2 linked regions of the Cricetulus griseus genome follow. The protein of the gene in region 1 purifies or fractionates together with the protein of each later gene. This does not show direct contact. Links are inferred from orthologs where the notes say so. Each region holds a gene or a part of one and is shown in the gene's direction. Other genes may lie near its edges.

Region 1 (7,630 bases):
GGATGCCCTGACACTGGAATCACAGGCGGCTGTGAGCCCAGTGATGTGGGTTATGAACTGGACCTGAGTCCTCAGCAAGGGTAGCTCTTAACTGATGGGCCCTCCCTACACCCCACAAGTGAGCGCTGCTCGCCAGGCGTGGTGGTGCTCAGATGCTACGGTGGCAGCACTTGGGAGGCCATGTGTCCCTCCTGTACCATCGTCACACCAGACTCCATGCTGTGGTGTCACTGACCAGGACTGCCCGGATAAGGTGTGTATATTTCCCCACTGAGAGAGTGACCTTTGCTGTCTTTAGAAGCCAGGCAGCTGCAGCAGCTTTCTTTTGGGCCACCAACCAGCTCCCAAATAAACACACAGAAACTCGTTATTAGTTATGGATAGTCAGCCTTCGCTTATGCTTGTCCCACTAGCTCTTATATCTTAATTTAACTTGTTTCTCTTCATCTACGTTTTTGCCTTGGGCTTTTTACCTTTCTTTCATTCTGTATGTCCTACTCTGTGTCTGGCTGGCTGGTGGCCGCCTGACTGTCCCCAGGCTCTCTCTCTATTTCTCCCTTGTTCTCTCCTTTCTGGAGCCTGGATTCCACCCCCTACTTATTCTTTTTGCCCACCAGCCCCACCTATCCATCTACTGCTTAGCTATTGGTCCATCAGCTTTTTATTAGAGCAGTCAGGTGTCTTAGGCAGGCAAGGTGAACAGGAACACATCATTACATAGTTAAACAAATGTTAACACATCTCTACATAGCTATGCTAATATTCCACAACAGGCAGTGGTGGCACACACCTTTAATCCCAGCACTTGGGAGGCAGAGGCAGGCAGATTTCAGAGTTCAAGACCAGCCTGCTCTACAGAGAGTTCCAGGACAGCCTTTTTCTCTTTTACACAGAGAAAAAGAAGAAACCATTGTGGTTAGCACACAGGTAAGGAGTAGGATGTCACTTTGGAGAGCCAACTGAAATTATCTGGGGTTGTTCTGAATGGGAAAGGCATCTACTAGCCCCCTGCTTCTTCATTTATCCAGTAACTCATTACTCTCAGCATGGACAGATGGATGCTTAATTGTTATTTAGGGTTATAACAACATCATTCTACCCATTTTGCTTATTCTTTTCTTTTTTGCCTTTAATATAGGCCCCAGATTCTAACTCCAGTCCTCACACTTGCTCATCACTTTACCAGCTGAGCAGCTGTCTCCCCAGCACTAGGCTCCACTCATAATAATTAATAATAACGATAATTTTTACAATTTGAATTGGACATATTTTATTTTTATTTATTTATTTATTTTTTGTTTTTCAAGACAGGGTTTCTCTGTGTAGCTTTGGAGCCTATCCTGGCACTCGCTCTGGAGACCAGGCTGGCCACGAACACACAGAGATCCGCCTGACTCTGCCTCCCGAGTACTGGGATTAAAGGCGTGTGTCACCAACGCCCGGCAAGAATTGGACAATTTTAAAACGTAACAGAATTGAAGTATAATGTACAATGTCACTTTACCCAGGCATGACAGCATACTCCTGTAATCCCAGCCCTGGAGAAGAGGAGGCCAAGGCCAACATAAGAAGTTCTAGGTTGGGACTGGAGAGATGGCTCAGTGGTTAAGAGCACTGGCTGTTCTTCCAGAGGACCTGAGTTCAATTCCCAGCACCAAGATGGCATGTCACACCTGTCTAAAACTCCACTTCCAGGAGATCTGACACCCTCATACAGACATATAAACAGATCCATGTGCACAATAAATACATATTTTTTTTAAAAAAAGAAACAAAAAAAGTTCTAGGCTAACCAAGACTATATAAGAAACACCCTGTCTCACCAGGTGGTGGTGGCGCACACCTTTAGTCCCAGCTCTTGGAGGGCAGAGGCAGGCTGATCTCTGTAAGTTAGAGACCAGCCTGGTCTACAGAGCAAGTTCCAGGACAGCCAAGGTTACACAAAGAAACTCTGTCTCAAAAAAACAAGCCACCACCACCGCCCCCAAAAAAACAAAACAAAACAAGAACCTGTCTCAAAAACTACACTAAGAAACCAGATATGTGGCATAAGCCAGCACTCAGAGGCTGAGGCAGGAGGATGAAGGGTTCTAGGCCAATCTGGGCTACCTATAGAGACTAAGTCCCAAAGCAAACACACATCCTTGCAATTAGACGACCATTCTAAATGCATAGTTGGGCAAGTCTTAACCAGTGAGTGCCTCCTTTTAGGGAACTACAGGCACCCGAGAGTGTGCACGAACGGAAGTAAATTCCTCAGACAAGGGATTTGTCCAGTGATGTCAGCTTCCCATTTCAGATCGAGACAAGGCCAACTTCCCCAGTGGGGGTAAATAGAGTCGTTAAGGGGCAAAAACAGACACATACCAGCAGTAATTTTTTCTATATGTCAGCAGCTCGAGATCTTTGCTAACTGTACCGGGGAGGGGTGTGGAGGGCAAAGGTACTGGCGCCACGGCTGTGCCCTCCCACCTCTCGCGAGGCACCGGGCTGACCAAGGTGGGGGATGGAGGATCCCATGCCCTCCCAGCCTCCTCCCCATACATCACCGGTCCTTGTCCTCTCCTTTTCACGCCCATTTGGCAGTGCCACCGCCTCGGCCCACGTGGAAGGCAGACCCCCACCCCACTTCTGCTGACCCGCGGGTACAGCGGCTGGCCGCGTTGGGGGCGGGCAGAACCGCGGAGGGGTTGGAGGGGGCTGGACCCTTGGCCCGGGCCCCAGGGGGCGGTGCCGGGCGCGCGCCGTCCCAGGTCCCTCCCAGGCGGGAGCAGCACAGGCGGTGCCCGGGCAGCTGCGGAGCGATGGACGGCAGCGGGCCTTTCAGCTGCCCCATCTGCCTGGAACCGCTCCGGGAGCCGGTGACCCTGCCCTGCGGCCACAACTTCTGCCTCGCCTGCCTGGGCGCGCTCTGGCCGCACCGGAGCGCGGGCGGCACCGGTGGTTCCGGAGGCCCGGCCCGCTGCCCACTGTGCCAGGAGCCTTTCCCCGACGGCCTGCAGCTCCGCAAGAACCACACGCTGTCCGAGCTGCTGCAGCTCCGCCAGGGCTCGGGCCCAGGACCCATGGCCGCCCCGGCTCCGGACCCCTCCCGGGGCGCGACGCCCGAGCCCTCCGCGCCCAGCGCGTCCCCTACGGCTCCGGAGCCATCGGCTCCCTGCGCGCCCGAGCCCTGGCTGGCCGAGGGGCCGGTGCGCTGCGACGCGTGCCCCGAGGGCGCCGCCCTGCCCGCCGCCTTCTCCTGCCTCTCCTGCCTCGCCTCCTTCTGCTCCGCGCACCTCGCCCCGCACGAACGCAGCCCCGCACTGCGCGGCCACCGCCTGGTGCCGCCGCTGCGCCGGCTGGAGGAGAGCCTGTGTCCGCGCCACCTGCGGCCGCTGGAGCGCTACTGCCGCGTGGAGAGAGTGTGCCTGTGCGAGGCCTGTGCCGCCCAGGAGCACCGCGGCCACGAGCTGGTGCCGCTGGAGCAGGAGCGTGCGCTCCAGGAGGTGGGGCGCGGGCATCCAGGCGGGCACGTGAAGACGGGTGACAGGCGGGCGGGGCGGGCGGGAGAGGAGCTATGTAGTCCCCACTCTCGTCGGGCTGTGCCTTTATCTGTTGCTGTTATCATTTTGCATGCGCACATGGAGATCAAGAAGTCAACTTTGTGGAGTTGGTTCTCACCTTTACGTGGGTTTCATCCCCTATACTCAGTGGGCTCTGCCTTAGTTTCCTTCTCCAACCTGAGGGTCTTTGCAACCCCTTCCAGTCTACAGTGTCGTTTGCTGGGGCTGGTGTGGATGGAAGGGGCGAGTATATGAAAGAGTGGCAAAGAGCCGAAAGGGAGGGCGTGTGTGTGTGTGTGTGTGTGTGTGTGTGTGTGAAGCCGACTCAGTGTGGGTGTGAAGCCCGAGAGGTATCTATCTGGGGTAGGCCCTTGGAGTTGGTGGGGACCAGGGTCGGGTGGCTGCGGGCGTGGCCCCATGGCTGGGGAGCTCTTCTTGCTGGTCCCAATTCAAATTTGTCCCGGACTGAGTCAGCCGCTGTGGATGGGTGTGGCAGGTCCAGGAGCGCCATGGAGGTTGGGCTGGTCACACAGAACGTCTATGTCCGAATGTTCTGGGGCCGTTGGGAGCATGTGCCCAGTGTCCCGCTACCTCCCACCCCCAGTTTCCTTTGGCATCCATCCCGGTCTTGGCGCCTCTAGCTTTGGGATTTTCCGTCTCTCCTGCCTGGAGCTGTGACTCATAAGACCCAAGGGATTTGCTCGGAATCCCCATTTTTTCGGAGTTGGATTGGGGGTGAAGGCTCTTTAGAAACTAATCCCCAGGACTATGTAGTGCCCTCCCTCCTCATTCAGTCACACCCCAAACCCCACTCTCTCGTTCTTTGCCTCTTCCCCACTGGGGTGGGGATGGGGGTCCCAACTAAATTGAGAGCCTTTGGTGGAACTATGCTGGCTTCTCTGGGCGACAGGTAGGCAGTCAAATGCTGACAGCCTGCTTACCTTGCCAGGTGTTTGGAAAGGCACCAGCCAGAGCCAGAGGTGCTTTGGACATATTCTGAAATAGCCCAGCCCCTTCCAGCCCCTTCCAGCCCCTTCCAGTCCCTTCCAGATGTCATTGCCCAGTCTTCCCCGACAAATCCTGAGATCTGTGGCAGATCAGGGACCCTTGTCACGGGACAACACCTCACAAAGCCCCATCCGCAGGCTGAGCAGCCCAAAGTCCTGAGCGCAGTGGAAGACCGCATGGATGAACTGGGTGCCAGCATTGCGCAGTCCCGCCGTACTGTGGCCCTCATCAAGGTCAGGACCCCCACCCCCACCCCTGAATCAGACTTCTGAAAGTGTGCATGAGCTTTGAGGGTGGTGCCATCCTCTCTAGACAAGCTCTGAGTTGGGACTGCTCATCCTTACTAAGCAGGAACTCCTTGTTTCTCAAGACAGTCGTGCTCAGATCCAGAGCTCAGACTGGTCCTCTGTCCTCCTGGTAGGGCTGGGTGGGCACACACAGTCAGGAGAGCAGCCAGGCTGAGTTTTTGTCTCCACTGCCCAATGGTGTAGAGCGCAGCTGCCACAGAGAGGGAGAGGGTGAGCCAGATGTTCGCCGAGGCCACATCCACCCTGCAGAATTTCCAGACTGAGGTGCTGGGGTTCATCGAGGAGGGAGAGGCCACTTTGTTAGGACGCTCCCAGGGTGACCTGCGTAGACAAGAGGAACAGCGTAGCCGCCTGAGCCGGGCGCGTCACAACCTCAGTCAGGTTCCAGAAGCTGACTCAGTCAGCTTTCTGCAGGTGAGGGCCACTGATGAGCCACAGCGGAAATTGAAGGGATGGGGGCGGGAGTTGGGAAATGGTGGCAGAGGCGACTGGTACCTGGCCTCCCAGGATACTTGCTACCTTCCCCGGCTGGGAGAAGCTATGGCTGGCAGAGCCTCAATGGGTGTTTGTCACAGGAGCTCCTGGCACTACGGCTGGCCCTGGAGGAGGGGTGCGGCCCTGGACCTGGGCCCCCCAGGGAGCTCAGCTTCACCAAGTCCTCCCAAGTGGTCAGAGCATTGAGAGACATCCTGGTCTCAGCCTGTGCCAGCCAGTGGGAGCAGCTTCGGGGGCTGGGCAGTGACGAGGATGAGCTGCAGAAGCTCGGCTCAGAAGGTAGGTGCCCCTTCAAGATGACTCACACACACAGAGAGAGATACCCTTTGCACCCCAGCTCTGGTGTCCAGCCAGGAACGGAGGAGGGAAAGTGTCTGGCATTGGGGGAGGGGACCTTAAACCTGCCAGGAACTGAAGCCACCCACCTTGGAAGGCAGAAGGGATTCTTCTTGCTTACCCACCATCAAGGCCTCACATACAAGGAGGCGAGGGTGGGGAAACTCAAGCAACATCCATGCATGAGAACACGGTCCCATTTGGGTGTGTCTGTCACCAAGCAGCTAGAGGCTTTGGGAGGAAGGGTGGAGGGAATTACAACCATGGGTGGTGGGGGGCACTACCTAGGGTAACCCTGCAGCCAGCCACAGGTAATCAGAGAGATGGCTTCCCCACCACTCCTCCTCCTGCAGCTGAGGTGGAGTCCCAGGACCCAGACAGCACCAACCTTCTGGAGAGTGAAGCTCCGAGGGACTATTTCCTCAAGTGTAAGTAGCCAGCCCACTGCTACCAAGGCGCCCCTGTTAGCCGCTAGGCTTCAGAGAAAACACAAATCCTTAATCTCAGGGGCGAACAAGGTCACCTCCATGGGTGGTCTCCATTACATCTCCATGGGTGGTCGCCATTAGTTGTGCGTCTCACTGGTCCTACAGAGGAACAAGGCTGGGGGGGTCCCTGTGGGGGACTATCCAATCCCAGCCTGGCTGTGATTTCTGTCTCTCTCCCATCCATGGGGTCAGTTGCCTACATCGTGGACTTGGACAGTGACACAGCGGACAAGTTCTTGCAGCTTTTTGGAACCAAAGGTGTCAAGAGGGTATTATGTCCCATCAACTACCCGGAGTCACCCACCCGGTTCACACACTGTGAGCAGGTGCTAGGGGAGGGCGCCCTGGACCGGGGCACCTACTACTGGGAGGTGGAGATCATTGAAGGATGGGTCAGCGTGGGTGTCATGGCCGAGGGCTTCTCGCCGCAAGAGCCCTACGACCGGGGCCGGCTGGGCCGGAACGCGCACTCGTGCTGTCTGCAGTGGAATGGGCGTGGGTTCTCTGTCTGGTTCTGTGGGCTGGAGGCCCCACTACCCCACGCCTTTTCGCCTACTGTTGGGGTCTGCCTGGAGTACGCTGACCATGCCCTGGCCTTCTACGCAGTTCGAGACGGAAAGCTGAGCCTTCTTCGGAGGCTCAAAGCCTCCAGGCCACGCCGCAGTGGTGCCCTGGCCTCCCCCACTGACCCATTCCAGAGTCGCCTGGACAGTCATTTTTCAGGACTCTTCAACCACAGGCTCAAGCCTGCCTTCTTCCTGGAGAGCGTAGACGCCCATCTGCAGATTGGGCCGCTCAAGAAATCGTGCATATCCGTACTGAAGAGGAGATGATGCAGGGCTGCAGTGGCCTCCTCCTGCAGTGGCCTGGCCCGTATTTCCTGGGAGAGAGCACCAGCCTCAGAGACCCCCACACTCCCAACTGTTACACTTGTAGGGTCTCTGCCTTCTCTAACTAGACCTTCCACTGTTCAAGGCAAGGGTCCCCAGCTCCTTGCAGGACGTGTTTTGGGAGGAGAACTTAAGCTGGGACAACTCCAGACTGGACCAGCCCTTCTTTTCCAGGTTTCTAGAACTACCTGGCACACAGTAGGTGCTCAATAAACATTTGTTGAATGCTTGACTCCCGTTTTCATTCCTCACTCACCAGAAATTGCTATGACTTCTCAGCCTTCAAGATCTGAGAATAGGGCAAGCGAGATGGCTCTGCCAATGAAGGCGCTTGCCTCCAAGTGTTGGGACCTGAGTTTGATTCCTGAACCACACATGGTTAGAAGATGAGAACTGACTCCTACAAATTGTTCTCTGACCTCTAACTGTGTGTCCTGGTACACAAGCCAGGCAGAAACACACACATATACAGTAACTGACTTCTGGCTCTAGGCAGGGACAGTCAGAGTGGCATCTCCCTGAGTCCAGCTCCATAGTCATCCTTGTTGCTCATGTTAGCT
Region 2 (7,717 bases), on another chromosome or scaffold:
AATTCTGGGCTCAAATCCCAGCTCTCCCACTGTCTGATGCTAAATACAAGAGGAAATCTATTTTTTAAAATTTATTAATGTGTTTATTTAGGGTGCTAGGGATTGACTCTAAGGCCCCGTGTGTACATGCATGCCTAACAAGCACTCGACCACTGAGCCTTGTGCACTGGAACAGGGACACCTGCTTAAACTTTGGATTCCTCCACTGCATTATGGGTAAATTCAGGTTGTTACAGGGTCTGAGACAAAAGGCCACGAGGCTGCATTCATGAGCCTAGCAAATGACATTTCCCTGCTACCTCCTTTCTAAATATTCCTCCTGCCTTCTAAGTCAGGCTCTCAGAACCCTCATGTGGAAGAAAGCCACAGGCAGGCAAGCCCTTTAGTGAAGTGCTCATGGGCTAACAAGATGGCTTAGTGTGCAAATGTGCTTACCATCAAGGCTGACAATTTGAGTTGATCCCCAGGTACCCCAAGGTGGAAGGAGAAAACTAACTTCCAAAGTTGTCTTCTGGCCTCCACATGCATGTCACGGCACATATATTTGCATACACATACAAACAATAAATAACTTAGAAAACAGCAAGTACTCATGATTTCTCTCTGCTGGCCTTTGGTTCAGGGCCTTGGGAGAGTTGGCCAAACTCAAATGGTACAGGTTCAAAGTACTAGAGAGTGCAGGAGAGGCATGTAGAACCTTGAGTGGGGTAGCTGGAGTCTGGGAGAGGTTGGAGAAGTGGGGTTCAGGCTGAAATGTGGGGAGGGTCTCAGCTGGCATCGGGGAGAAGCTGAGTTGCTGAAGAAGTCTGGCAATGCCTGTGGGTGTACATGTGACTTCATGGGAAGAGAGAAACTTCAAATGTGAAGAGCAGAGGATGGATACAAGATACAGCCAGGCCTCTCTGTTGGTGATGACAATGGGTGCTACAGGTACCACCCAGTTCTTCACAGACAACTGGAACTTCTTCCATAGCTTCTGGTACTGCTGAGTTAGACAGTGCTGGAACTTTGAAGGCAGAGACTGTCACCTGTCCTGTGTCAGGCATCCTTCCATGGAAGCCTACAAAGGATGACAGGTGGCCCTGGTGTCTAGCATCTTGACCCCCACTGAAGTCAGCTCAGAAGGGTCATCTCAGGCTCAGGAGCTCCTTGTGGTCTTGGTTGAGCTCATTATTAGTACTGTGTCATGGCAGTGTCCTCTGTCCCACCCTGCTGCGACCATCAGACTGTTCAATGTTGTGTCAGGGATGAGAGGGTAATTTCTTAGGAAAATGAGTCATTGGAGCACAGGGTGGAGCAGGTGGATAAAGAAGAGGAATTGGAGAAAAAGAGGATGGTACTGGAGGGCATGCCAAGTCAGTGGGTCCAGAGAGGGTGATGCTGGAAGGAGTGAGTGCCAGGAGACAGTGGGAACAGAGAAAGTGATGATGCTGCAGGGAGTGCCAAGAGACAGTGGGTCAGGGAAGGGCAGGAAGCTTCAAGCCCACACCATATGAAAAATAGTTGAGGTTGACACATAGTTTGATAGCAATCTTTGTACATTGGACAAGGGCCTCAAACAAGCTGTGTGGAAGGCATGCTACTGGGTCTCCTAGCTTCAGCTCTTGACCTTCCACAGTCTGTTCCCACTCCATTTAGAGGAAAGCAAGTCAAGTTACTTTTTGGATTAAAATCCTCTAAAGGTTCTTCTTGCACTATGAATAGAACCCACAAGTGTCTTGCTATGACTCATGAGATCTGTCATAATTTAGTCTTTCTCCCTCACCCCCACCCCCCCCCCCCCATCCCTGCTTTTTTTTTTTCTTTTCTGGTGTATGTGTGCCTGTTTGGGTACTCGTGTGAGGCCAGAGGACAACCTTGGATGTTATTGCTTGGTCACTGTGCCCCTCATTTTGAGAGATGGTCTCTGATAAGCTTGGTGCTAGCTGATTGCACTGGCTTGTCTGGTTAACCACAGATAGGTCCTCTCTGGCTCCTCCCCAACATCCTTCAGCTTTTTGCTCAAATATTACTTTCTCAGTGAACTTTCCCCTGGACGCTCAGTTTCCTTATATGTTTGTCTTTCCTGTTTCATTCTCCCCTAAGCCAATGTGGCTCCTGTAGCAAGCTGATCCATGGGTTGTTTTTGTTTCTTTTCGTTTTCTGTTTGTTAAACTCTACACTCAGGGAGGCCCTGACCACAAAGAGAGCAGGTGTTCAGGTACACAGTAGCTGTCCAGTGATTGTTTTATAGATCAGCCTGTGGACTTGTGTCAGCTACAACAGGAGCAGACTGGGGACGTGCCTGATTTCAGGACAATTTGTGTCTGTAATTGTCTCCCCTGCAGGACACACTTGTTGGAAACTAAGGTTCTCAACGGTTCTCCAACTCTAGTAACTTCGGGAAGGCAGCAATTAAGGATTCAGACTAGATGAAGGATGGGGGAATCCACTTTCCAGGAGGTGGCTGAAGGGGCAGGTGACAAGAGATCAGCGGGCGGGCACTGAAACAGGCCAGCTTGGGTTTTGGGCTCTGCCAGCTGTCAGCTGTGCAGGGAAGGCAACTGAGCAAGTTACTCCCTCCCTCACACGGAGTTGCTTTGTATTTTAAAGGCGCGGGTGTGTGGGGAGGAGTCCATCAGGTCTTCCTCTTTGGCAGGCTATTGCAGGGATTGAAGGCGATCTTCACGCAGGTAGCCCACAGGCATGCTGCAGAACGCAGGTGTGGCTGTGGAGCAACAGAGGAGGAAGTGGCAATGTCGGCGTGGCATCTAGGGGAGGGTGCATGGAAGGGAGGGGAAGGCTAGGAGGATCTCGCGGGCAGGACGGCAGTTGGGTGGGGGCAGGGAGCAAAGGAGGTGTTTCCTGGGACAGGGGGCGGAGACCTAACGGCTATAAGGTCCCCCAGGACTCAAGTTCACTGAGCTTCTGCAGACACTGGGCAGCTTTCGGTACTCCTGCTGTGAGCATCACCTGTGGCCCTTCTTGCCTGCACCTGCAGCCAGCACCTGCAGCTCGCACCTGTATCAGGCCCCAGCCATGACGCACAAGGCGGCCTTCGACACGGATATCAGCACCCTGACCCGCTTCGTCATGGAGCAGGGCAGGAAGGCTCACGGCACGGGCGAGATGACCCAGCTGCTGAACTCGCTCTGCACTGCCATCAAAGCTATCTCGTCCGCGGTGCGCAAGGCTGGCATCGTACACCTGTGAGTTAGGCCTCTGGTGGCCCTGTCTGGTCTATTAGAGCGCCTGGGGGTCTGCCTCTCTGGCCCCCCTGCTGGTAACCAGTGTGCCCACTCGACACCTGAGATTCCTGTCTCTTGCCCTGCTGCTCACAAACCCTTATTCTCTTCCTCCTGGTGATGGAGCAGGTCCCCTGGGAGGGCTGTCTTCCAGGTGCATAACCTGCTCTACCCCTCCTCTGATCTCAACTCTCCTTGTCGCTCCTCCCAGCCTCATGGTAAAAGTGAGTGACTTAACAGTTGCCCATTTCGGTCTCAGACAGAAAGAGACACGGTCACCTTCCTCCCCTGTTACTCTCTTTGGAATTTTGGACCCAAGTTGTTTCAGATCCAGTGTCATCCTCGACCTAGACTAGTTCCGTTAAGAATATTCCACCAAGCGATAGTTTAGGAAGAAGTGAATACCCAGTCAAGTCCGGCTGTCTATACAGTGTCCTGTCCTCTCTCTGGGATTAGCTGCAGAGCCTCACCTCGAGAGCAACAAAACCTTTCCCTATTTGCATTAATGCCTTGAGCAGATCTTGCCCAATTAGCGAAGAGCTCGAAGACAGGGCAGATGTAGTAGTCTTCTTTTGATGGAGCCAAGGAATTGATTTCCTTCTTCTGAAACATTTGGGGACCTTGTTATTCAGACCCTCCTTCAGGGGTGATTGGGGAAGGTCTGAAATTCTGCCTTTCCAATAAGTTTCCTTGTGGTGGGTGATTTTTTATTTTTTTATTTTTTTATTTTTTGAGTCAGGGTCTCACTCTGTAGCTTTTGATGGTCTGGAGTTTATACTATGTGCAGAGCTGGCTGACCTTGCACCCACAGAATCTGCCTGCTTCTGCCTCCTGAGTGCTGGGATTAAATGTGTGCACCACCACACCTGGCACAGTAGGTGATTTTAATGCTCTGATCTATAGTTCATACAGTATAAAAGGAATACTATATAGTTCATACAGAAGGAAGTGAAGAAAACCTTTCTGTAAACTACTCAACTCTCTTTTACTTTGTTCTGGTCTGAGCACATGTTTGGTATCTAACTGGTCAGCATACAGCTGAATGGAACCTGGGTTTTCAGATTATTTGTATATTTCCTTAATATTTTTCATGCCTATTAGCAATGCAGAAATGCCATTCAAGGTTTGCGGCTAACTTGAGCATAATAATCCTTTGAAGTGCATTTTTTAAAATGCTCCCCCAACAATGAGGCCTGGGTTATTTATTTCTTTATGCATCTATTTCTCAAAACCTCTGTTTCTACTGTGTGGCTTGGTTGAGCTAATTCTTAAGAATGAAGCACCTGGTCACATTTACTTTCAGATGCCAAGGAGGGCTAGGCCTTGCTAGAGAAAGCTAGGAACAGGTATGTTAGAGGTGAGAACTCCCTCACCATCTTGTTCTTGGCCCTAAGGAGTTATTGAGCAAGTGCTGGAAGGTAAAGTCTCACTTCAACTTGAGTTTCCAGGGCACAGATTTAACTCTCTGAGTACCTGGAAGCTTTCTAAGAGACAGCAGTTGGCATTTTTTTTTTACATTATTTTAAAAATGCACCAGTACTTGTCACAATCTCAGAAAGACTTAGAACCCCCAAATCCCACCTAACTAGCCCCGGAAAATGGGAATGGGGTTTGGTAGAAGGTGCCAGTTTTGGCATGGAAGAGAATGTATATTGGTAGACTAGATGGTCATGACACCATTTTTGAAAATATTATCATAGATTCCTTAAGGAGTTGTACCCATTGACAAAAACACCACGCCATTCAAAAGATATGGAGGAAAAGGAGACCCCCCCACCCATGCCAAATCCTCAGAGTACCCGCTGCTAACTGTTGTTGATTATTTTCTCTGACTCTTCTTTATGCTCATGTAAATATCTACATGAACATGCATTTACATGTTCCTATGTAGCTAGCAAACAAAATGGGACAGTATTTACCGTGTTTTCCTCCAATTATGTAATGAACATTCTCTGGCATGGGGTGTGACACCATCCACTTCCTTTTAAACTGCTGCAGGATGTTCCACTGAGCAGACATCTTGAATAATGGAACCCTTCTGTGGCTTTGTGGCATTTAAGTCCTTGCTACTCTGGTTGTTACAGTGGTAGGACAGGTAGGAAGCATTCTTGTGGGACAGTGAGCAGGTGACTACTCACAGTATGACAAGCAGTCAGACTTCCAGCAGCCAGATATGATCTCGACAGGCCTCCAAATTATATTCATTTGGGCTTTGATGTATTGAATGAAGAGCCAGTGCGGCTTCAAAGAGCTTAATTATCACTCCCAATTGGCCCTAGAAAAGCATGCACCCAAAGGGATGGGATGGTTGTAGATATTTCAAGAACCTCATTGGGACTGGTTTCCAAAGCTCAGTCTGGTGTCTCACAGCTCAGCAGAGTTATAATTATGGTTCATGCTGCTGCCTTGTCTCAGTTAACTTCAAAGTTGCCACTGTTGTCATTTCCATTGCTCCTAATGATATGATATCATGAGACAGCATTTCCTATAGCCCAGGTCAGGTTCTGGGGAAGGGAAGGTTAAAAGTATGGAGTTGGAAGAGAAGACATGGAAAATGAGTGGACCAGGTGAAGGAGTGACCAGAGCTATAGTAGCAGAGAAGGCAGGGGAAGGACCTGGCAAAGATGAAGCATGGATTGGATTTGGGCAGTGAAGGGTGTTCTCAAACAGCTGGTTCTTGCAAATGAAAGTAGAATCATGCTATAGAACATGAAAGCAATACAAAACTCCAAATGGAATTCCAAGGAGGACTTGACTTCTAGGGACTGTGGAGCAGTGAGGGGATGTGGAATTTTGCATGCCTTGGTTGAGGCTACTGTAGAAACATACAGTCATAGTCTGTGGGCATCTAGGCCACTGGACTTGGCACATTGGCCCTGAGAATGTCACGATTGGGTTTAGAAGAGTAGGGACACGCAGAACTGAAGAGCTCATTTCAGAGAGAAGGAGCTGAGTTTAGATTCCTAGACTGACATTTAATTCATGTGGTGATAGGGATGGGTGGCAAAGCATTGTGAGCCCCAGTTTCCCCTCTTTTAAGATAGGGACAAGTGTTTTTCAACCTTAGAGTGTTGTGTGAAGATGAAGGAGCTTACTGGTCACACACTGATATCATCATTGCTCTCCTGAAGACTTTTATTTCTTCCTTTTCTAAACTGTTTTTTTTTTGTGCTCCGCCATCATTCTATTTTGCAGCTGCCCATATACATATCAGCTAGAATATATTTCAGGCTACAACATCTGGAAAAGTAGTGTGAGCATGTGTGCATGCTCGTGCGTGCGTGCGTGCGTGCGTGCGTGCGTACGTGTGTGTGTGTGTGTGTGTGTGTGTGTGTGTGTGTGTGTGTGTGTGTGTGTAGGTGGGGGGAGTCAGGCGGTTTCTCACTGAGCTGGAGTTCACTTACTGATTAGGCTAGTCAGGCTGGTGGGTGAGCTCCTGGGATCTGCCTGTCTCTGCTTCCCCAAGCATGGAAATTACAATTCTGTGTCACCATGATCTGCTTTTTAAAACACGGGTTTCTTGAGATTGAGTTCAGAAACTATGCTTGTGTGGCAAACACATCACCAACCGCAATAACTCCCTAGCTCTCCAGAAATGTTTTATTTATGAGATATGCTTTGACGGAGGAATTCAATAAAGAAATTCAGTTTTAGGCTTGGAACTGTGGGAAGGTTAATGTGTGCTTATGCTCATCTTCACATTTGCAGAATTTATGGTGCAAGACTGCTTAGAACAGTGTCAGATTCTCTCTCGTTTCTTGGCTTATCTGCACCACATGACTTGAGTGCCTTGCAAATCTCATTCCAGGGCCAAATCAGAGCTGGCCTCATACCCTGACATCTGTCCATCTGCAACCTGCATGAGCAAAAGCCAGGGTTGGGATTTGTGACCTTGAAAACAGCTTGATTGGCACATCTTCTGTGTATTTCTGAAGTAACCCTTGGATTTTCCCCACCCTGGGTGAATGGTTGGTCATTTACCACAGGATCAATCAATAACAGGGTGGAGGTGGGGTTACCTGGGACTTTCGTAATAAAACTTAAATCATAATCTTCCTCCCCTTGTCCTTGGTTAGATGCTCTGAAAACCAGTGTGGTCCTCCTGCGTGCTGCCGAAGGTGCTGCTGCTCACAGTTCTGGTGTAGACACTGGAAGAAGGGAAACAGCCTGTGTCAGGATGTCAAGGATGTCATATAGGGCTTGCCCACTGTGTGGCAGGCCCCAGTTTCAGTCTTGCTGTTCAAGGCCAAGGCTGCAGCTCAGTGGAAAGTGTTTATCATGGAGACAGGAGGATCAGAAGTTCAAGGTCACCCAGGGATACATAGGCTACAGCAGAATCCCCCCCCCCCCCCCCCCCGCCAACCCGGTTTTCAGCTCTGACAGACCTAGGCTGCTCTCAGCTCTGCCCAAAGAAGCTTCTTTTTGCAGCACTTGATGGAAAGACACATAACTGGGCATCTCTCTACTTAGAGAAGTAAGACATGAACAGTGAC

Evidence for each region.
Region 2: the proteins of Trim47 (region 1) and fructose-1,6-bisphosphatase 1 purify together in Homo sapiens (affinity purification with western blotting; 3 studies listed by BioGRID). This does not show direct contact. The link is inferred for Cricetulus griseus from reciprocal best matches to the Homo sapiens genes TRIM47 and FBP1.

What each region holds. Positions count from the first base shown.
Region 1 is NC_048600.1:128,694,283-128,701,912, reverse strand, and holds Trim47 (E3 ubiquitin-protein ligase TRIM47), read left to right. Parts: upstream 1-2,711; 5' UTR 2,712-2,804; coding exon 2,805-3,488; intron 3,489-4,690; coding exon 4,691-4,786; intron 4,787-5,044; coding exon 5,045-5,275; intron 5,276-5,436; coding exon 5,437-5,635; intron 5,636-6,045; coding exon 6,046-6,120; intron 6,121-6,372; coding exon 6,373-7,013; 3' UTR 7,014-7,302; downstream 7,303-7,630. UniProt on the Homo sapiens protein: E3 ubiquitin-protein ligase that mediates the ubiquitination and proteasomal degradation of CYLD.
Region 2 is NC_048596.1:280,506,687-280,514,403, reverse strand, and holds the start of fructose-1,6-bisphosphatase 1, read left to right. Parts: upstream 1-3,018; coding exon 3,019-3,188; intron 3,189-7,717. UniProt on the Homo sapiens protein: Catalyzes the hydrolysis of fructose 1,6-bisphosphate to fructose 6-phosphate in the presence of divalent cations, acting as a rate-limiting enzyme in gluconeogenesis. Plays a role in regulating glucose sensing and insulin secretion of pancreatic beta-cells.